Linked DNA regions of Astyanax mexicanus. Each later gene encodes a partner of the first gene's protein in a complex. Links are inferred from orthologs where the notes say so. Each region holds a gene or a part of one and is shown on either strand. Other genes may lie near its edges. The genes, in order: mybbp1a and dek.

What was found.
Region 2: mybbp1a (region 1) and dek share a complex: the UniProt entries of both Homo sapiens proteins name them as parts of the B-WICH complex. The link is inferred for Astyanax mexicanus from reciprocal best matches to the Homo sapiens genes MYBBP1A and DEK.

The regions. Positions count from the first base shown.
Region 1 is NC_064429.1:11,719,646-11,731,891, forward strand, and holds the start of mybbp1a (myb-binding protein 1A-like protein), read left to right. Parts: upstream 1-7,365; 5' UTR 7,366-7,425; coding exon 7,426-7,596; intron 7,597-9,004; coding exon 9,005-9,100; intron 9,101-9,293; coding exon 9,294-9,377; intron 9,378-9,733; coding exon 9,734-9,808; intron 9,809-9,952; coding exon 9,953-10,060; intron 10,061-10,840; coding exon 10,841-11,031; intron 11,032-11,683; coding exon 11,684-11,851; intron 11,852-12,246. Other genes in the region: fgf10b (fibroblast growth factor 10b), read left to right, coding at 1,901-2,004, 2,266-2,457. UniProt on the Homo sapiens protein: May activate or repress transcription via interactions with sequence specific DNA-binding proteins. Repression may be mediated at least in part by histone deacetylase activity (HDAC activity).
Region 2 is NC_064413.1:17,882,396-17,894,197, reverse strand, and holds the start of dek (protein DEK), read left to right. Parts: upstream 1-5,871; 5' UTR 5,872-5,982; exon of another isoform or gene 5,983-6,248; intron 6,249-7,820; 5' UTR 7,821-7,847; coding exon 7,848-7,935; intron 7,936-8,035; coding exon 8,036-8,247; intron 8,248-8,340; coding exon 8,341-8,435; intron 8,436-9,079; coding exon 9,080-9,200; intron 9,201-10,247; coding exon 10,248-10,553; intron 10,554-11,396; coding exon 11,397-11,525; intron 11,526-11,614; coding exon 11,615-11,717; intron 11,718-11,802. UniProt on the Homo sapiens protein: Involved in chromatin organization.

The DNA.
Region 1 (12,246 bases):
AAACATGCAGCTTTTTACAGTCTCTCTCTCTCTCTCTCTCTCTCTCCTTCAGTGTGTGTCAGAGTGTCTCTCGCCCTGTATTCAGAGCAGTATAATGCAGGGATTTACAGTAACTCACTGTTTTCTCTGTACAGTTTGTGGTTATTTTAGTTCTGCAGTGAAAAAACGACTTCAAAGCCACTACCTGAGAGCAGACATGTGCTTTTCAGAGTGTGTGTGTGTGAATGTGGGGTGTGGATTATGGTCCATATGGCTTTATGTGTTGTCAAAAATGCGTGTAAGCTCAAATCCCAAAATCACTGCGTTGATCTTAAAAGTAAGTGCATGGTTGTCTTTGTACATTCTACTGATCTAATATAATTAACACACACACACACACACACCTTGTCTGCTAACAGCCCCTAGCATTAACTCTCGCTCTGTTGAGTGTTTAAAGATGAAACAATTTTTTTAAAAACTACAAATCTGTTTTAAAATATTTATTGAGCACTGAACATTATTAAAAACCCAGAAGACAAACCAACAAAGCACAATACATTTACCACAGCAGCACTATTCTAATCGCTTATTTCATTAATTCAATCAGTGTGTCATAAATTTACCTCAGTGATGCTGTTTACCTAAGCAGTGCTATTTTGGCTATATATGTACCTCAGCAGTCCCATTCTAATCACGAATTTACCTCAGCAGTGCTGCTCAAGTCACATGTAAGTGAAATTTACGCTACTAACGCTACTATACTAGTCCTGTACAGCTCGTATCTTTCAACTGGAAGCAGCCAGTTTGTGAAGACGTAGTAAACTGAGTAAACTGATAGTGAGTGTGTTAAGTGTGTAAGCTGAGTGCTTTATTTACTTTAATTATTGTGGGTAGAGAGTAAAAAAATGTAACCTGGCGCTTTGATATGAGCGGCTACTGAAAAAAAGTCCTAATATCAGAGAAAACTCTGCAATGTGACTTAAAATAAATGAGTCAATTTTCAATATAAATTATTTTGCCATTTTCAGTCAAACAAATTTGGTTGCCAAGTATTCGGTCCACCTGTAGTATATATATAATACATATGGGACATATTATTAATAATGTATAAATATAAATTGTTGTGTCAATCACTGTGGTGTGTGTCTGTGTAGTGTGAGAGTCCTTCATTCATCTCTCTCTTTCTCTCTCTCTCTCTCTCTCTCTCTTTGATCATGACTCACTGATGTTGCTCTAATCTGTCTTTCTGTCATCCTGCCATTCTTCTGTTCCTCATCCTTTCATCCTGCCACTGTTTACTGAGAAACAGATAGTTTTACTGCTTCATCTGATACCTGCAACCCAGCACGCCCTCTCTACACACACACACACACACAGAATGCTGACCAGTTGTGTGATGGCCCCCTCTCTGTGTTCTGGTAGGAGTGTGTGAATGAACTGATCTGAACAAGGTGAATCAACAGCTTTAGTTCTCCAGTACTAGAATCTAATTATCCATAGTGTGTGTGTGTGGGTGTGTGTGTGTGGGTGTGTGTGCATGTGTCTGTGTGATCAAAGGACAAACCCCTCATATTCACACACGCCACACACACACTGAGGTTATCACACAAAGAGATAACAAAGCCTCACACACACTACACTGCATGTGTGAGTGTGTGTGTGTGTGTGTGTGTGTGAACTACAACCTGACTGATGTGTTCTGGAGATCAAAGGTCATGCCAAAGAGTGACACTAATACCCTTACAGACACACACACACACACACACACACACACACACACACACTGTCTGCTAATAGCCCCTACTGTTAGCTCTCGTCAGATGACTGTTTAAAGCTGAAATGTGTTGAAACAGACTGAGACTGGACTAATGTGTGTGTGTGTGTGTGTGTGTGCGCGCATGTGTGTGTGTGTGTGTTGCAGGCATTCTGGAGATTACGTCTGTGGATGTGGGGGTTGTAGCCATCCGGGGGCTCAGCAGCAACTATTATCTGGCCATCAGTAAGAAAGGAGAAGTGTATGGAGAGGTGAGTGTCATCACACACACACACACACACACACACACACACACACACTCCAACAGCACTGCTGTATTGGATACACTTACTGTACCAGCACAACACACACTAACACCTCATGCACCACCACCATGCTAATCACTGCTAATCACTGCTGTATCTGATCTATCGGCTCTATCTTCACAAACATGTGGGCATATATAGTATTTATCTGTGCTAATTAGTTTGTTGGTAGTATACTCACAGTATGTGTGTGTGTGTGTGTTCCAGAGAGAGTATGGTGTGAACTGCAGGCTGAAGGAGCGTATTGAGGAGAACGGCTACAACACCTACTCATCAGCGCAGTGGAGGAACCGGAGGAGAGCCATGTTTGTGGGTTTGAGCGCTAACGGCCGCCCGATGAGGGGCAGGAAAACACGCAGGAAGAACACGGCCACGCACTTCCTGCCCATCCTCGTCTGAGCGGACACACCGAGACACACCGGCACCAGAGACACGATGAGGACGAGACACTACAGAGCTGAGATCTGTACACAGCTCCTCCAGTTCCTCCTGCTGCTGCAGCCGGACCCACCTGATAACACTGCTCCCTGTGTGTGATCCTGATTCTTCTTTTGGATATAATAATGGCACATAGTACCACAACTTTGCCAAATCAGTTTAAAGAGTTGGACAAGAACGAGAGGCTGTTCAGACTCGGGGGCTTAAAGGAAAAGTCTGGCAAAAAAAAAACAAATATACACAAATTACCACCCAGCTCAACTCCTAAATATACTCTATACCTGTTACAGAAACAAACAGCAGTGCCCATCTTAGAGCCTGAACTGTGTACCTGTGCTACAGTCTATACTAGAGTCTGTACTAGTCTGTATTGGGTCTGTACTAGAGACTAATACAGTCTGTATTAGTCTGTGCTAGTCTGTACTAGAGTCTGTACTCTGTGCTACAATCTGTATTAGTCTGTGCTACAGTCTGCACTAGAGTCTGTACTCTTCTGTTCTATAGGTTGTGCTACAGTCTGTACTACAGTATGTACTCTTCTGTGCTATAGGTTGTGCTACAGTCTGTGCCACAGTCTGTGCTATCATCTGTGGTAAAGTCTGGATTAGTCTGTGCTACATTCTGTGCTATAGTCTGTACAACAGTCTGTGCTATAGTCTGTACTAGTCTGTGCTACAATCTGTACTCTTCTGTGCTATAGTCTGTGCTACAGTCTGTGCTATAGTCTGTATTAGTCTGTGCTACACTCTGTGCTATAGTCTGTACAACAGACTGTACTAGTCTGTGCTACAGTCTGTACTGGTCTGTGCTACAGTCTGTATTAATCTGTGCTACAATCTGTACTCTTCTGTACTCTAATTTACTACAGTCTGTGCTTTAAGTGTGCGCTGCAATCAATATTGTAGACTGCACTACAGTCTGTACTACACTCAGTTCTCTTCTGTGCTATAGTCTGTTCTACGTTCTGTACTAAACTTCACGCTAAAATCTGTACTACTCTACTACAGTTTGCACTACTGTCTGTACAAGTCTGTCAAATAGTCTGTACTATAATCTGTACTCTGATTTGTACTATATCCCATAATACAGTTGTGTACACAGGTTTTCTGACCTGTCGCTTTAATGTACTGTGAAACCTGTGAAACTATAGAGGTCAGTATATGGTTTCAGAACACGTGAGAACCGTACTGACAGATGGAGGAGAGGAATCTCCACAGGACGCTGGAGGCTCTGAATCCAGATCAGTTTTTAGTTATTACTGTAATACTGAGACTGAGATTAACTCACTAAACCTGGAATCAGCATAATTTACTGTATTCTGGACCCAAATCACGGAACTGTGTCGTGGAAATTATGCATGGAGCAGGATGCTGGATCGGGAACTTGGAGCTTGATCTAGAAAGTGGATTATGGAACTGGATCATGTATTCAGGGCAGCGGATTGGATCTTGGAACTGGTTTCTGAAGCTAAATCAGGACACATTACTGGATCTATAAACAGTTTATGGAACCAGAACGTGGAACAGGTACCTGGAACTGGAGTGAAAACATGGAACTTGATGCTGAAAGTGTATTATGGAAGTGGATCATGGATCCAGAGCGTGGATGGAACTGGATCTCAAAACTGGATCCTAGAATCGGAGTATTTTACTGGATCCAGATCAAGTTTATTACTTGAAAGCATAAAACTGGATCCTAGAACCACAGAATAGAACTGGATCCTAGAACCACAGAATAGAACTGGATCCTAGAACCACAGAATAGAACTGGATCCTAGAACAAGAGCATGGTTTTTGTTCCTGGACTTGGAGTATGGAACTATATAATGGAACCAGAGCGTGAAAATTAATCCTGGAACCGGATTCTTGAGTCGGAGCATATGACTGGACCCTGTAAATGTATCTGGACCCGGGATGTGGAACTGGGTCCTGGACCTGGATCGTTTTACTAGACTGTGAAACAGGAGAATGGAACCGGTCACCTGACGACCCGAGGGTCATTAGAGGCGTTTGTAAACACAGCTCTTGACTGCTTTCTGATATATTATTTATTTGTATACTATTTAAGAGCAAAATGAATGAAGTGTATGTAATAAAAGCAGCTTTCTGTACTTTATATCAAATAAAAGCTATTTTCTCACTCTTGTACAGAGTCTGAGTACATCTGTTCACTCATCACCAGTTACTGTGTGTGATTAGCTATACATCTCAAGGTGTAATAATCAATAAATCAATTGATTAATGAATCAATAAACCTTAAAACTGTTACTCTCATTTTATATTCAATGTACCTGAGCCTTTACAATCAATAGCTTAAAACAACAGAGAAAAAAATGGATTAAAAAAGTTGAAAATTTAGCAGAACTAATTTAAAATGATCATATAAAAATTAATCTAAGATATAGAAAAGTTAAATATAAACAAAAAAATAAAAAAAAAGAAAAAAGCTAAAATGTAAACATAAAAATTACTAAAAATATATAACTAAAGTATTAAATATACTTAGTGTATAAAAATACTAAAAAACTTTTAAGAAAAATATGAAACTAAAAAAAATATTCAGGAAGAATAAAAAAAAGAAAAATGCTAAAATATAAACATAAAAATATAATCAAATAAGTGTATAAAATAATAAGAAAATTATAACAGTACTAACCGTACTATATTAATAACACTACAAAATAAGATTAAACAAAATGTAACTATTACAATTTGAAGAGGAATAAAACTAAAACAATTAACAGACAAAATAAATAAATAAACATATTTCTAAACAGATAATTAAGATATGTTAGTGTATAAAATAATAAGAAAATATAAACAGAAAAACATAACAGTTCTTATAAACGTAGCAAACACAACAAAAATAGGATTAAAAATGAGAGTTGGTTAATAATAATAACATTACTTATAAGATTTAAAAAAAATAAGTATTACAATTTGCAAAGGAAAAAAATAAAACAGGTGATACAGACAAATAAATACATAAATAAACACACATATATATTTCTAAACATAAGATTTTATTGTGATTAACACAAAAAAAAGTTTTTTGCTGGCTTTTGTAGAATGTAGAATGTAACTGTAGCACCATTTAAGGTGGAACGGATAATTCGTGTAAAAAGCTAAATGTAACCTTAGAATTAGGACCACACACGCACACAGAGATATTTTCCACTACGCTTTCTTTCCTTATTAACTCAAATCTCTCTCTTTTAACCGAAACATTCCTCTTTATTTCCATTACACCCGCATTTTTACAGGAACACACACAAGCGGAAAACTCGCTAATAACTGCGCGCTATCTGCAGATTTACCAACAGCTCCGCGGATACAGTGGAAAAAGCTGAAATCAGGGTTAATGAGGGGCAAAACTACCCCAGATTACAGAGTTTCTCAACATTTCTCACAACAAACCTGCTGTAAAAGAGAAAAGAGCAAAAAACAGGCCTTATAAACAACACTGACACTAACGGAGATGAGACTGCACCACAAATTAACTGCAATAAACAATATTATTTTACTTTAATAGTATTTTAACACAATTTAATGCTAATAATATGATGACAATAAAATAGCATGATGCTAATGGATGCTACACCCTTTTAAAAAGGTAGTGATTTTCTTTTGTTATCATTATATTAAAATATTGGGGACATAGGGGAAAAATTATGATAAAGAAACAAATGAAAAATGAAAAAAAAAACATTTCAAAAACAGATTAACTATAAAGTTTCTGATGATTCATAAAAAAACCATATTAATGGTAAAATAAAATATATTTAAATGATCAAATTGAATCAAATAGTAAGAAAAAAAACAAGAAAACCCCAATAAGCATGAAAACTGAAACTAAACTACTAAATATATACAAACATATATACTATGATAAATAATAATAATAATATTATTAATAAAAAACATATAACAACCAAAAACAACTAAACACGTAGAATATTCAGACATAGGACAAAAATGGGTCATATATTCTCAATAAATGTTTTTTTCTTTTCTTTTTTACAAAGATTACAGAGACAACTAACATTAAATTTTAAAAATGATTAAATTGAATCAAATAACTAAGAAAAAAGTCAAGAAAATAATCATAACATTAAAATTTAACTGCTAAATATATACATACATATATAAAATTATAAATAATAATAATAATAATAATAATAATAATAATAATAATAATAATAATAATAATAAACACTAAAAAACATGTAGAATATTCAGACATTGGTCAAATACTGGTCATATATCCTCAATGAATGCTTTGTTTTTTAGTTGTTTTTTTTTACAAAAATGACAAAGGAAACTAAGATTTCATTTTTGGATTTTTTGTAACTGGAATACAGACTCACATTCACATTAATGTAAATAACTCCTTAATAACAATAATCTCATTACTATATCAAAGATTTGTCTTGATAGCCCTAACACAAGTGATCTAAATAACGATACCCAAATGGGAAAATGAAATAAATTATAATGAGACTAATTCTAATTATATTCAAATAATATTAACATATTATTTTCTTGCACATATAACTTACATTTTTTTTATTTTAACCATTTATATGTCTCTTTGTATTGGACGTAGATATGCCTTGTACAGTATACTAAAACGAACTAAATTAATAAACAAATACATTTTAGTATGGAATGGTGTAATAAGCAAAAGATGGTTTGTTGCCTGAGGGCAACATTATACCATAGAGTGTTAAACTACATGCGCACTGTTAAGTAATTTCTCCAAAAAAGTTAATTAAAATAAATAAACCTTTAAATGTTAGTGAAAGTTAATGCTACAGTTTGAGGGACTCTTATTTTGAAATGGTTGAAAGTCAAACCGGAGGTTCCCCCGTTCTCTCTGCACGTGTTTCCCTCTCGTGTTTTTCTCTACACGAGTTTAGTGAAGGCGAGCATGGTGGACCCTGATAGCGGCCCGGTTCGGCCCGCTGTGGCTGATCCGGACGGTGTTCTGAAGCGGAGCCGGGAGCTGCTGGACCTGTTCTGGGAAATCGCCAAACCCGAGAGAGAAGCGCGACTTCAGGCTGCCGAGAAACTGGTGGAACAGCTGAAGAAGAGTGGAGAGGTTAGTACACTCACTGAACTGGACCTCAGAACTTTTCAGAACCATCACAGCAGCTTAGTACCAGGATCAGTGCCCGTTCCACCTTAAATGTTCGGTTAGTTAGGTTAGCTACTCAACTGTTGTCATCAGATCACTTACAGATACTTCTGGACTGTTTAAGGTGGATTGAAGGCTGGTGGAATAAGAAGCTGGCTGGCAATCTGAGATTATTCTTGTCCAAATTGTTGTAGGTGGACACTCAAAATAATATTGTTGACCTTAATCTTCCTTCTGGAGTGCCTTTTACACCCTGTATTCCCTGTATCTCAGTTTTCTTTCTTAAACCTTGTGGTAATCTGATGAGCAGTGGTGGACTAAGTACACAAACCATGTGCTCGAGGTTAAGTATTTATACTACAGGTAAAGCCCCCCTTTAAACTTTAACAAGTGTAGAAATTCAGAAATAGTTTAATTCAAATATGCTTTGCTTCTGAAAGTAGCGATACCATCATTTATTTTTGCTATAATATTCTGTTATAATTTTTATGATTACTAGTCTCTTATTGATTAATCAGCTCGTTTTAGCTGAAACTTTTTTAATGTCGCTCTAACGTCACCAGTCTTTTGATAGAATGTCGTAAATGTCATATTGATGCCTGTTAAAAAGGCCACAAGCACAAAACACTAAACGAGAACAGTTTTCATTAGTTTGAACCAAGTTATTGTAAATATCTTTTTTTTACTAACAAGCACATTTTGGTTTAAGGTTTATATGTAACTTACAAGTTATGAGCTTAAGTTATGATTTTAAAAAAGATTGCTGTATCTATATGTTCCATATATTCATTATTTATGCAGTATAGGCACACCCACAATTTTTCACTGCTGCATTGGGCAGCTGCTGTTTGTCCAACAAGTCAGAACCAGGTAAAAACTAAGAATACGCTGTACCCCGATTCAAGTGACGTGCCCTGAATGGTGGGCTTGCTTGGTGCTTCTTTTATGATACAATACTCTAAAAGCATCTGATAAATTTGATATAATGTAATGTACTTTTTTATATACCCAAACAAGCCAAAATGACTGACAAAGTAGTGGATAGTAAATAGTAATATATTTGAGTTTGAAGTAATAGTGTTAAAGTAAAAAAAAAAATCACCTAACATGGATATGTTAGTAAAGTACAGATACACAAAAGTTTACTTAAGAACAATAATAATTATACTTCATTACTGTCCTCAATTTCTCCTGATTGATCAAGTAATATTTCGCTGTGCTGTGTGTTGAATTTGTAGACTATTTGCACCCAATGTGAGTGAGACCTGCTTAGTTTGTTTAATGTTAATGTGGCATTCTAATTATTACCTGAAACATCATTGCTTTTGTTTTGTATTGTGTTCTTTATTTTATTTTTTGTTGTGTTTTTCAGTCGGATGAGTTACAGTATGTGGTGAAGAGGCTGGTGAATGGACTGTCTCATGCACGAGAGCATGCTCGCACTGGCTACAGCGCCACACTGGCACAGGTAAAAAAAAAATAGCCTGTATTAGACGATTTTTAAAAAATATAAATATATAAATACCTCTTCTGGGTTTGCGTTTCTGGAGAAACACAGAATCTTCAAAACAGTTTGGTTCCTGTATTAACTGCTGGATGTACTGAAAAGTTCCAGTACAGTTCTGTAGGAGAACTCAGGTGTGTGATTTGTGTTTCTGCAGGTGCTCAGTGTGTTTGATGAACTTCCACTTAAAAGCACACTTGATCAGATCAAAGAAAAACATGATCTACAAACAGCCAATAAGGTAGGAAAAACACTAGATTTTTATTTAAAGAGACAAATTGCTTTTGCTGAACTGCTGGGCTTTGAAGTTGGGACTGTCTCCACCACTCACTCCTTATTTCTCTCTTTCTCTCTATCTCTCTCTTTCTCTCTCTCTCTCTCTCTCTTACTCTCTCTAATTTTCTCGTTCATTTTCTAACTCATATATTTATAAAAATTGTTTATGTGCAATTTTTATCTGTGCGATTATGAGTAAATAAGCGTGGTATCGGATTATCTTATGCCAGTATTAGTATTTATGCATCTCTATTAATGATTATTGGTGTTTCTAAATCTTCTGGATTTTCTTTCTCACTCTTTCTTTCTCTCTTTTTATAGAAACAAATCAGAAATGTGGCGTTTGGGAATTTTTTTGGCGTGCTCGCGCTGTCTCAGTCCACACGGTTGCACAAGGTAAGCTCCTCGTACTCATTACGTTGTAATTACATTACTCTGTTTTTATTTATTTGTAGAATTTATTTGTTAATCATTTTAAAAACACAGAATTACTGAATGTTTTCACACAGTCAAGTTGTCTGATGTCTGTCATTTCTCCAGGAGCCGCAGGTACTGCTGGAGTGTATTAAGCTGCTCCAGACTCTGTCTCAGTACAGAGAACACCTGAGAGAACTACCCAGGAAGACCATGGTGGACATTCTGAGTGAGGTTAGCTGAAGATCGGCCTTTTCGCCTGTGATGCTGCTGATGCACGTTTGATAAATTAGATTGTTATGCTACTCTGTGCCTTCATCTGGATGTGTATATATATATATATGTATATATACACACAAAAGCGTTCACACAAAGAATACAGTTTGTGCTAATTTATTAAGAGTGTTATTCATATGCTTATACCTAGGTTATGGAAACTGATAGTTTAAGGGAGAAAAAATCCCACACTGCAAGCATGCTGCTGTATTCAGAGCCATCCGCTACTTTCATCCACGCTTTTTTTTCCCCTCCAAACTGTTTACACAGATACACACAATTAATTTTTAACTGACTGGCAGCACTTATATAGTTATTATTTAATTTAATTCTAGTTATAATCTAATACTAATTCTTTCATTTACATTAAAATACCTATTATTAAAAGCTTTACATTTGGTAGGCCACATTGCATACACATACATGCACTTGATATTTGCACTGGTAATTTTTTTTACAAAAAAAATTATTGAAGTTTTTTTTTTTTTTTTTTTTTTTTTTTTTTTACACATATTTTGTAAGCAATTATTGTCTTTTAAGAAGCACAAGCTATTACAATAAAGGGCAAACACTTTTTTGTGATAAAATTGTATGTTTGAATGTTTGAATAATCATTTAAAAATCAATATCTCTCTGGGTCAGAAAATGGGATTGGCACATCCTTAGTATTTTTAATTTCCACCAGTTGGTAATACGTGCTGTTGTTCTGAGCTGCGTTTGTGTTGTGTTGTGTTTCAGACTTCAGAGGAGGTGTTTGAGGAGGTGCTGTTTAAAGCACTGCAGACTGATTTGACCTCTGCCCTCAGCAGCCCAGAACAGTTGGAGCTCCTCCTGGTGGCCATGCAAAAGTTTCCCTCAGTCATCAAACCGGCCAAACTGAAGAAACTGGTGGGGACTGCAAGCGTCATCAACAAAAACACCCTGCCACGGTGAGACACACACACACACACACACACACGTATACAAGGTTTTTTATTATTATATTATTATATTATATATATATATTTTTTATATCTTGATACTGACAAATGTAGCATCTAAACATATTACACATATACTGGCTGCTCATTATTAGTACAAGAAAAACTAACAATCAATAATTATTTAATATTTCAGTTAGGGGTGTGCCATAACACCATACGCAATATCAACATTTTATTTATAATTTGTTGCAGTAGAGTATATTCTTGAAATCGTTTTAATTCAGAGTTTTGTCTTATCACCAAGAATATCATTACTGCAATAATACCATGAAGTATCATAAAAAAATATTGTAATATTTTAGGGCCATATCGCCCACCCCTATTTTATATTTAATCTCTAGTTGTAGACGTCCTATACGGATGAGTACTCACTGGCAGGGACCTGCAGGGTCTATACACACACACACACACACACACTGTATAGCATGTACTCAATCATCAGCAAACACATACTACTTCATTGACAGTTTCATACACACAGGTCTTCTATGTTTATTGATTTAATCTGTACTTTAAAAGAAGTTGTCATGATGTGTTGCACTTATTCACTTATTCACTTATTCACTCATCCTTTGTGACCCTGCCTGTGTTCTGATAGGTTGGTTCAGGTGTTGAAGACGGCCGCTCGCTCGGTGAAGAAGGAGAACGTGTTGCCGACGGTGGCTCTGGACCTGCTGCAGATGTCTCTGAGGGAGGACAGCTTTGAGCTCTTCTGGAAGGAGGCCGTAATCAGCGGATTACTGTTAGACCCTGCAGGCCCCTGCCAGTGAGTACTCACCCGTATAGGACGTCTACATCTAAAGAATAAATATAAAATAGGGGTGGGCGATATGGCCCTAAAATATTACAACATTGTTTACGATACTTCATGGTATTATTGCAGTAATGATACTCTTGGTGATATGACAAAACACTGAATTAAAAAGATTATTTCAAGAAAACACTACTGCAACAAATTGTAAATAAAATTTTAATATTGCGTATGGAATGACATGGCACACCCCTAACTGAAATATTAAATAATTATTGTTTGTTTATTTTTTTGTACTAATAATGAGCAGCTGGTATATGTGTAATATGTTTAGATGTTAAATGTTAAATTTGTCAGTATAAAGATATATAAAATATATATATGTATATAATATAATAATATAATAATAA
Region 2 (11,802 bases), on another chromosome or scaffold:
GATGATCACAGAATCCTTTCCACGCTGAAGAATAAAACCATTCACAACATCCACCCAAGTGAAATACACTCTTCAGGAAGTAGGTGTATCAGTACCCCAGTCTACCATGAGAGCAAATATAGAGGTGTTCACCACAAGGTTCAAATAATTAATAGAAAGCCCAGATTTAACAGATTTAAATAAAAACATATAAAGAATCCAGCCTAGTTCTGAACAGAGGTGGAAAAATTACTGAAAAATTGTAATTAAGTAAAAGTACCTTTACTTTGCTAAAATTCTACTCAAGTAAAAGTAAAAGTACCCATCTAAAAACCTACTTGAGTAAAATTAAAAAGTACCCAATTTAAAATGTACTTTGAGTAAAAGTTACATAGTTACTTTTAATTTTAATTATTTGATGTAAAAAAGTAAAAACAAATCATAAAATAAATTGTTTTTAATTAACTATTATTATCAGGCAGCATTTGTTCAGAACACCCCATAAAACAAGTAGCATAGGTTTCTATGATCATTTTTTTTCTTTACTATGAAAAGGTTATGGTCATATAGGTGACTATAAACTGTAATTTTATAGTTTTACAGTTCATTATTATTTTTTAACTTGCCATTGCTATGCTTTAACTGCTATATACATTTTTTTTTTACATTTGAGCAGATTGTTTAATGATAAAAGTACTTACACCACATGCTTTCGCAGGTTTGATGTGGAAGTTTTTAAAGCTGACAGCTCTGTCCGGCGGGGCACATTTTGTATTGCGTGAGGACGTTATTGCCTCGTTATTCCACGTGCAAGCATCCGTGCACCAGTGCATCCATGCAAATTTTTTTTTTTAATTCAGACAATTTTTTTTACCCCAGCATTTTTTTTACTCAGTAATTGGAAGTTTTCCAATGTAGCAAAGTAAATTACTTGTGTCAAAATGTACTTGAGTAAAAGTAAAATTACCTATTTTAAAAACTACTTAAAAAATTACAAATTACTCATAAAATCTACTCAATTACAGTAACTGAGTAAATGTAATTAATTACTTTCCACCTCTGGTTCTGAAACAGTGTTCCTTTGGACAGATAAAACTAAGATTGCTGCGGTCTGTGGGTTCCAGTCTTCTGGCAGAGATCACCTGCAAAGGTTTCTAAACAAAGTATTAAAAATAAATGTTTTATTTATGGTAAAGTTTATGTGTCCAATTACTTTTGCGCCCTGAAATGAGGAGGCTTTGTAGAAAAATGCTTTTAAAAGGATACATCATATGATACATATGATAGTTTTGTTCAACCCCTAAATTTAATCTGAAAATCTACACTTCAGTTACATTTTATTTGTTTCATTTCAAATCCAGTATGGTGGCCTGCAGAGCCCAAGTCATTGTCCAAATGTTTATCGACAAATAAAAATATAAAAGGCTCTAAGATTCAAGGTACATATATGTTCTGAAAGTCTTAAGGTCCATATATGCTCAAGCTAAAAGTGTAACTTAGTGTTGTAGTCAAGACAAAGTCCGAGTCAAGACCAAGACTTTTTAGTAGTCGAGTTTGAGTCAAGACCGAGACCGGGAAAAGCTGAGACCACGTCCAAGACCAGATTAAGATTTAAAAATAAAAGTTCAGATTCAAATACTATTTATTTTTGTTCTAAAATGTAAAAAAACAGTCACAAATTGTAGTTCTCTCCCTGGTAGCATTAGTATTTTAGCTAGCTTATTGCTAAGGTTAGCTAGCTCGTTGCTAAGGTAAGTTAGCTTGTCATTAGCTTTAGGTATTTCACCAGTAACAATATTGTATCATTTAGCTTGGTGCTAAGGTTAGCTAGCTTGTCGCTAATGGTAATTATCTCCCCGGTAGCATTAGTATTTTAGATAACTTGTCGGTAAGGTTAACTAGCTCATCGCTAACGGTAGTTATCTCCCCAGAAATATTAGTGTGTTAGCTAGCTCATTGCAAAGGTTAGTTATCTCTCTAGTTTGCACTTACTTATCCTTGTGCTTTCTTTCTAGATGTCTGGAATAAATTAATTGTGGTCCCTGGGGTCAAAAGATTCAATTAACCAAAGAGTATAACTACAGCAAGCAGGTGAAAAAAGTACATTCAACTTAACATTGGAGTATTCAGAATGAAAGGTGTACATTGATTGGAACAAAAGCTGGAGTAGCTTGCTTTTTGCCATTAGCCAATCTGTGTGCAGATTTTAGCCACACAGAGAAAGAACTGATTTAGTGTGTTTGAATGACTTGTTGATTTTTAGTAACATAGAAAAAAGGTTCAGTTTCTAATGAACTTAACCTCAGAGGACTCAGACTCGGCCAGACAAGACTCAGACCGATTCCAAAGAAGATTGAGTCCTTATTTTTGGTTTCAAGACCCAGATCGGACTTGAGTACAACAACACTAGTGTAATTGCATTAAAATATAATTCATTATCAAACTTATGTTCTTTTTTCTTGGATTGGGGTCAAGTATTTTGTTACGTCACGGCAAAAAATCACTAATTTGCACTAATTCACCAATGACAGAAAACTAGATTTGATCAGATTTACTGAAAATAAAAAACTAAAATTTACATAGACATAAGTATTCAGACACTTAGCTCTGGGGTGCCTCCCATTTCTCTGGACCACTAGAGTCCACCTGAGGTCAATTCCGCTGACTGGACCTTGATTTAGAAACATTTTGGGCACATCTTTCCAAATTGATCCTGCAATTTCTACATATAAACTCTCTTACTCACTCTCTCCCTCCTTAAATCATATAGTCTACTCTTTTCCTCATTCAGGTTCATGATTCTCCACTAGGGGTCTTTTTAACACTCAGGAGGTTTTTAAATACTTAATAAGTCAATTAATACTTACTGTTTATAATGTGTTCTTTTTATAATCACCCATGTTACCTAAAATGAGTCTTGAGCTGTTTTATTTCCGCATATTAATACACACATTCAATAGCACCAGGCGTCTATTTAAAAAGATTTGGAGAAAAAGCAGATTATCAAAAGTGATACAACACTGACCCCTGCTGTTCATCAATAGCATGTAAACATATTAAACGTGATGTTCTTTATAGATATATAAGATCTGACAGAGCTTGACTCAAGTAATCCTCTGAGAAATGCTGCTTTGTGATATCCTGTCAAGTTTATTAGCTGTCTCACTAAGAAAAAATATATTTTTGAATGAGCTTAACTAAAATAACTATTAATACTTTTTATGTATCAAATTACAATGATTAAAATGCTCCATTGGTTTAATAAATCATTACATCAATTTAACAAATTGTGTTTCTTACTTTAAATATTTTAAACCACAAAATATAATAAATACTGAAAGTAAGCATTAATTTCTTAAATTATTAAATCATGCTCTAAATTGATCAACTTCTCAAATTCCTTTAATTTGAAAAATATGTTTCATGACTATAATGCATCATTCTGTTAATTACATTAACTGTGCCCCTCAATTTAAAATGTTGTTTGCTCAGTTTATTGCTCCTCAAATCTGAAATTTCTCAGTTTAACTATCAATTTCGTCGATTAAATCATTCCTTTAATGAATCACTTTGGGTTTTTTTATTTAATAATTTAGTATTATAGAGATGCGAAAAAGGCGTCCAATAAACGTCCCTACGAAGTCCTCCAGATGTCATATATAGCCCTATCCGGACAAGATTAGTTTCTCAGGGGGTCCTGGGGTAATTTTCTCTTTTACTGTGGGTCCTCTGTGATTTTATTCCTGTCCAGAAAGACCATGTATTTGTTTCTCTCTGATGTCCTCTGAGAAAATTACAGGCTAAATTACCAACTGTTTTTCGCTGAACTCCGTGATCCTCCGATAATTTTAGTCCAGTCCAGACTCACAGTTTTGTCTCCTTGCATTTAATAAAATAGCTGTTTGTCCACTGCCACGCACCGTAATTACACTTTGGGTGCCCGTTTCCATAGAGATCCACATAAACACAACAGCAAGTGGAAATGGAGGAGCTATTAAACGCGATGTCATGTGACCGAGAAAGCCTAAAAACTTACTGGTCCTCCTGTTTTTTTAACTGCAGTCCAGATGCAGGAGTTTTATCACCGAGTAGAAGTGTGAAATATTTTTCACAGACGTCCCCCTGAGAAACTAATTCCGTCCAGACAGGGCTGGACCGAAAAAAGACATTTAAAATACTTTCTATAAATGTCCCATGGTGGTCATCTGAATGTTAAGTACCCTACCATCCCCTGCAACATTTTGGCGACCCTCCAAAATGCCCCGGCACGTTCCGGTGTGGGTTCGGAGGACTCCCTAGAGACCTGTTGTTTAAGCTGGGTTGTTCCCTCAGTTTAAAGTTACCCCACTAAAATTTAAGGAAACATTTTTATTTTCTTCGCTGTTCTGGTGCTCTGTATTTTTGTTAAGTTTTTAAAAGAAAAAAAAGACAGAATACACTTTCTGTCATTTGTTTGACGAATATGATCTTTTTTAAAAGTGCAAAATTACAAAATGTCTACACTCTAAGAAAAGTAAGTACAGATTTGTACTTAAAAGAGTACAAAGCTTGTCGCTGGGGCTGTACCTTATATTGAGGTACAAAAAAGTACCTTTCCATGAAAGTCCTTTTTTGTACCCATTTTTGTGCCAGTAAAGATTATAAAGATTATAAACATTATCATCAACTAAATATGGCTCAAAAACTTGATGATGCAAAATTGTCTGGCTTTCAAATAAAAAATGTGCAATTAAAATATATATTGTTTATTAGTACAGTGATGCAGAACACTGAATGTACCTTTTGTCTAGTCAAATGGTACAAATTTGTACTTATTGCTGTTAAAAATTACTTTGTACTTCAGAGGGAACAAATCTGACCCTGTAAAGACCAATATTGTACCTTTAAGGGTACAATTATGAAGAGTGTACCTTTGAGTACAAAAAAGTACTCATATCGTACCTCTGTTTTTTAGAGTGTAAGAGAGGTATGTGAGGTATGAAGACCTGAGAGAGGTGGAAAATCTACTGTAATTGAGTAGATTTTATGAGTAATTTGTAATTTTTACAGTAGATTTTAAAATAGGTCATTTTACTTTTACTCAAGTACATTTTGACACAAGTAATCTACTTTGCTACATTGGAAAACTCCCCGTTACTGAGTAAAAAATAAAATGCTGGGGGAAAAAAACAATTGTCTGAATTAAAAATAATAATAATTGGCACGGATGCACCGGCACACAGATGCTCATGCATGGAATAACGAGGCAATAACTTCTTCATGCAATACAAAATGTGTCCCGCCGGACAGAGCTGTCAGCTTTCAAAACTTCCACAGCAAACCTGTGAAAGCATGTGGTGGTAAATATTTTTATCATTAAACAATACGCTTGAATGTTAAAAAAAAAAACATTTAAATAGCAGTTAAAGCATAGCAATTGCAAGTTAAAATATAACAATGACCTGTAAAAACTGTAAAAATACAGTTTATAGTCACATATATGACCATAATTTTTTTACAGTAAAGAAAAAAATTGGATCATAGAAACCTATGCCACTTGTTCTTGAAAATGTTTTATGGGGTGGTCTGAACAAATACTGCCTGAAAAATCCAAATTATTATATGAAATAATAGTTCATTAAAAACAATTTAATATATGATTTATTGTATTTTTGTACATCAAATGATTAAAAGTAACTATGTAACGTTTACTCAAAGTACATTTTTAATTGAGTATTTTTTTAGATTTTATTTTTAGATGGGTACTTTTACTTAAGTAGAATTTTAGCAAAGTAAAGGTACTTTTATTTAATTAAAATTTTTCAGTACTTTTTCCACCTCTGAGCCTTGATGAGGTCATATGAAGTTCTTACATTAGTTTTTTTTACTCTGACTCTCTCCCGACTTTTGTGTGTGTGTGAGACGGTGGTCCGGGTCACGTGACTACACGCCCACACTTTTCAAACGCCATGTTGCGGAGTTTATCGGAGTGTTATCACGCAGCCCGGGCGTAGTTTGGATCCTGTGAGTGTGTTTCTCCTGTTTAATCCACGCGCTGTGTGCTGTAGTTTAGTGTGTGTATGTAGGGAGGCGGTGGGGGTGTCTCGGAGGGTGAGGGCAGTGCGGGATTTGGTCGGTTCTCCGCTTCTGCGGGGATTGTTTTGGTTCGGTCTGTGGGCGGGACGGTCCGCTAGCTGCGTAGCCGAGTTAGCTAGCGTTAGCTCCCTGCGCTGCTGTGGAGTTACCGCGGCGGAAGAGCCTCCAGCAGGAGCCCGGGTCCCCAGCGCGCGGTAAATATTTAGGTTTAACTCCAAGCTCTAACGCACAGCTCTTCTGCGGACATTAGAGGACATTAAACGCTATTTTGGGTCCGTTTAGGCAGTCTGCGTTGGAGTTAGCTAACTAGCTCAGTATTCAGAGCAGGCAGGGCTGTGTGTGTGTTTCTGGTACTCGCGCCAATTTAGTTTGAATTCGGGAGGCAGGCGGCTAACGCTAACTGGAAGATACCCTCAAACTAACAAGACTGCGGGGTTTAATAGGCAGAGAAATACAGTAAAAATAAGTATAAAGGGTCTCGATTATTACAGACTCCGGAGAAACACTTACTAAAACTTAATTCGTATTCATAGTAGCTAGCTACGCTAGCTAACTAAATATCTTAGCTAGCCAGTGTTTGGACAGTTTTGGGGTGAATTAGACTTGCTAGCTAGTTAACCTAGCTAACGCCAGGTTAGCTAATTTAACTAACAATTTACATAAGTTGGGTTAGCTAACGCTAGCTTAATTAGCTACTAAAGTTACACGTAGGTTAGGTAAGTTACCTAACTTCGTTAGCCGTTTTAATCTAAAAACACACCAGCAGTCAGAAAGCCCAGTACACCAGCAAGGTCCTGGGGTCGGTTGCACCAGTTGTGAGTAAGTTTAAACGTAGACTAGTTGTAGCGTTGGTTAAATGTGTACTAAAATCAGATTTACATAAAATCAAAACTACTATATAAATAGGTTCAAGTAGCTACTAATATTCACACGCAACTCAGCAGAAGTAAAGTGTAAAAAACAAGTTTTCATGCATCTTGGCATGTTATCCTCCACCAGACTTACACCCTGCTTTTGGACAACTTTATGCCACTCCTGGTGCAAAAATTCAAGCAGTTCAGCTTGGTTTGATGGCTTGTGATCATCACTCTACCTCTTGATTATATTCCATATCATTATATTCTGATACAGCTCTCTATCCAGAGCATCATTCTGAATGGAGAGATCCATTCTAATTAGTAAATTCAACTACTTTAAGCGATGGGAGATTACCAAATACCTAAAGACATCATTATACACATCATTTAAAACAGGCAACTAGCAATAGTAGCACAAAATGTAACTTGGCTACTTTGTATTTCAATAGAATTTTGATCACTTAATCTATGCACCAGACTATAAGACAACATTATACTAGTTAGAATTACAGTTCTGCTAAAAAAAAAAAGAAGTAATTGGTATCTGTAACTGATTGATTTTTTTATTATTTTTTTTTTTTTACTAGTCAGAAATGGCTATGGAGATGGCTGGGCGATTAAAGAAAAGTAATTAAATGTAATGGGTAGTAAGAATCTCTCTCTTTTTTCTTTTTTTTTTTTTACTTAAATGCAGCTTTTATATTAAACACAGTGCACACATAACCTCCCTGTATTTCAGTTAAAGAAAATGTGAAACATAACATCACTGAGGCATAAATAAAATAAATAAAAAAATTGCATTAAAACAGTAAATTAATCAAATTATAGTTTGAATATATGTGAAAGGCAAACAATCTTTTTTTGTGAGAATATGTATTTGATGCCCTTTTAATCTTTTACCCCACTTAGAAGTACCTAATCTGAGCTTGATTGAATATGGAGGAAGACATGGATATACAAGACGATCACACAAAAGAAGAAGAAGAAGAAGATGAGTCGGAGAAACCGAAGTCCAAGAGCATCTGTAAGTTATACTTCAGAATATAAATATATATATTTCCAGTAACACTAATCAAAATGTGTTGTTCGTTTACTGGAACTATCTTTTACTTTCCTACATGCAGATGAAGTGGAAATCATGGAAGGGAAACGGGAGAAGAAAACAGTCCAAAGACTTGATATGCAGGTGCCTAAACCAAAAGAGAAGCTGAAAATCGAGAGTATAGGCAAAGGAGACAAACTAGGAGACATCCCCCGTATCAATCATGCCATTGGAAGACTCAAAGCACCAATGCTTAAACCTCTTCACAAGATTATATACGATCGGCCAGGAGCTGTGAGTATTTTATTAAATTGAGTGAGATGTTCATAACCATAAGATTAACACTTCAGTAATGTTTTTTGTAAAATTTTGTTTTTAAATTTACAGGTAGCATCGCTTCGAAAACACCTTCGATTATTTAATGGCTTTCCGTTTGAGTTTGAGAGTGATCCTTACAACAAGAAGAGGATAAAGATGTCAAAGTAGGGAACCCATCATGATGTTTTATAACCAAAAATAGTATATATGTAGTATGAAGGATAGTAGTGATAGTAGATGGTCTATGGCAGTGGTTCTCAAACTGTGGTACGTATACCACTAGTGGTGCGCAAAGCATGTTAGGGTGGTACACCAGATGACCTCAGAAAATGTAATGCATGAACAAAAATATTAACAAAATATTTTAAAAATATCTAATTTTCACAACAGGTTTTTTAGTGTTTAATGTGGTAGATCCTGTATGTAAGCTTGTAAGCTTTAGTTCCTTCAGTTTCATAGACCCTACAATTAAACCCTGAGGAACTCCACGATTCACAATAGGTGCCATGTAGACTTTATAGTTCACTACATTCTCTCATAGTCCGGTTATTTCCCCCTGTCTCAAGCTTTCTGACATGTCTCAGTATGCATACTGCATTTATAAGAAACAATAATTTGCAGATTGTAAAGAGGGTAAGGTCCACACAGTAGCCCCAGTAGGTGGTCATTAAAAGATTTTGGTTTGATCATGAGTAGTACATTGCTTTAAAAGTTTGAGAACCACTGGTCTAATGTGTTTTATTGGTGAATGCTGGAAACTAAATTAAGACGTTGTCTAATAATCATTAATGAATGGCTTTTTTTACAGGATCCCCAAAGTACAGCTCAAGTCCATTTGTCAAATTCTTGATATTGAGAGGAGCGGAAGTCAAGCGGTTCTGGCTGATAGGATCATGCAGTTTCTTGTAAACCCCACAAACTCCGGGAAAGTGAGTTACACCTATCAAACTCTCTATTTCACATTAATTTTCCAAAGGACACCTGTACTAAGAACACTTTACATATTAAGTCGAAAAAAGGAAACAAATGTAGGATGTTTTCTTATGGTTAAAAACTAAACAACTGAGCCAAGACAATTCTTCAAAGTCTCCTACTATGAGAAAACAGCGTGTTTACACAGTAGTGCTGTAAACCTTCTACACAAACAAGCCAATTATGAAATTATAGTGAAACAAAACAAAAAAAAAGTTAGCAGTAAAAATCTTTTTAAAACGTAAAAAAAAGCTTTTACCAGCCCCCTACTAAAATTAATATTTCAGTCAGAGTTTGGAGACCTGCATTGTTTGCCAATCTAACAAAACCTGGATCACACCATGTGCAAATATCTTACTATAACTGTAGTATATAATTGCAATATACTGTAATCATCAAAGCCTGAACTACATCATGAATTTAAAAGCTAGAATTTATTATATAACAAAATAAGACGTTATTTGCAAGTCCAACAAGAAGCTGGCCAGCTCTGTGTGTGTGTGTTTCCCTTTATTCTCTCATAGCTCAGGCGAACAATTATAAAAAAAAGGCCAATATTTATTCTCTTCTGGTTTCTAGCTCGGTTACTCTCTCTTCTCTACATCCTTGCTTCCTTAGAGATCTGTTTCTACAGTCTCTTCACAGCCTCTGCCATACATAATTCATAATCAAAGAACTGAAACGGCTTTTCCAATCGATCTTTGTAGTCCTTGTAGTTCAGTTAGAAGTACAATGTGGTAAATCACCAGTTCACAGTTCTCGAAAGAGGCATGCTAGTCTTGCACTTCACACAGAAGTTACAAAGTCTGGTTTCAGCTCATTTAACCTTGGGTCAGGCATAAGAGGGATTCTGTTCTGCCCATTACACCTAATTGGAGTGGTGCAGTGATTTTTGAATCTGAAATGTTACTTCTCTAAAAGTATGAATAATCCAGAAAATTCCTCCTAGTGTCTCTTTTAAGAAAGAATGTTAAATTTATTCTTTTTTTATTATTATTACTCAGCCGGTAAGCTTAAAAAAGAAGAGAAAGAAGAAAACAGCAAAAGATACCAAACGTGAGAATAAAACTGCATCAAAGAGCAAGAAACAGCAAATGGACCCTGGAAAGTCTAAAGAAATCGTTACTTCAAGTAGTGATGAGGATGATGATGAAGATGATGATGAAGATGAAGGTGACACTAAAAATAAAGACACCGAAAAGTCTTCAGCATCAGACAGTCGGAAACAAAAAGGAGATGAAAGCGACTCAGATGAGGAGGAGGAGAGCGTAGAATCTGATGATGGTCTAGGAGACAGTGAGGATGAAGAGGTGAGAAACTTTTTTTAATTGATTTTTTTTTCTTTCTTTTTTTTTCTTTTTTTTTACTTTTTTACTTTTTTTTTTTAAATATTGGAACCAGTGCACATGCGTGAATCTAATAATGTTTATCATTTAAGCAAAAAGTGATTTATCTTCTGACAAGACTAGTTTATAAAATCAAACCTTATAGCTGTTCCATCTTACTGTTTATATATGAAATTCAAAGTACAATATGACTTAAAACTATGGAACTAGGCTTGTTCCATTTCTTGGGTATGTTTTGATGCCTTGCAAAAGTATTGGTGTGCCTTGCAAAAGTGTTGAGGCCCCTTAAACCTTTTCACTTTTTGTCAGTTACAACCACAAACTTGGATGCTGAAAGCTTGGGATATGTTTTTATAACCTAACCTTGCTTTAAAACATTTCCACAACCTAATCTCTGTCTGGTGAGTACCTTGGTCTGTATGAGGCTGTTCTCTAGTGTTCTCTAACAAACCAATGAGGCCTTCACAGAACAGCTGTATTTATAATGAGCCACTGTAGTTCAACATACCTGTAGGTGATTTTGATCTTAAATCGTAAAGCTCTGAATTCTGCCATGTAAATACGGTGTAAAACATGGTCACCAGTCTGTAATTAATTTAAAATTAATTAATTAAGAGAGAGTGAAATGTAGGAACTATTCAGGAATCTTTTTACATGGAATGATCGAAATAATAAGATTCTTCAGTCAGTTGGTTGTGCACTCCCACATCAGTTCACATTACTCTGCATTGTTGTGATTTGCATTGTTGAGTGTATTCTGAATACTAATTATTGTGTGTCACCCCTTGAAATCGAACATCAAATCAGAAGACAAAATCAAAGAAGTCCGGCAACAAAAAGAAACCCACCCCAAAGATTACAGAAGACAATTCTGACCTGTCTGCATCAGACGAGGACGAGGACAATGAGTCTGCTGAAGAGGTGGCTCCAAAAAAGGTTGGTGTTTTGTGTCTCTAAAGGTAAACAAAATTTAAATTTAGTTCTGGTAAACCTATTTTTTAATGGACATCTTTCAATCTTACAAGACTAAAAAGAAGCCAAGTACCCCGAAGAAAAAGCCAGCCCCTAAAACCAAGAAAGCAGACAGCAGTAGCAACAGGAAACGAAAAGAGTCCAGCAAGAGCAAAGGCAAGTAGAACACACAGGATTTATTCTACTAGCTGCCAGTTAGATTTTGATGGCCATTGTTACATGATAATTGTTAGTTATTTTG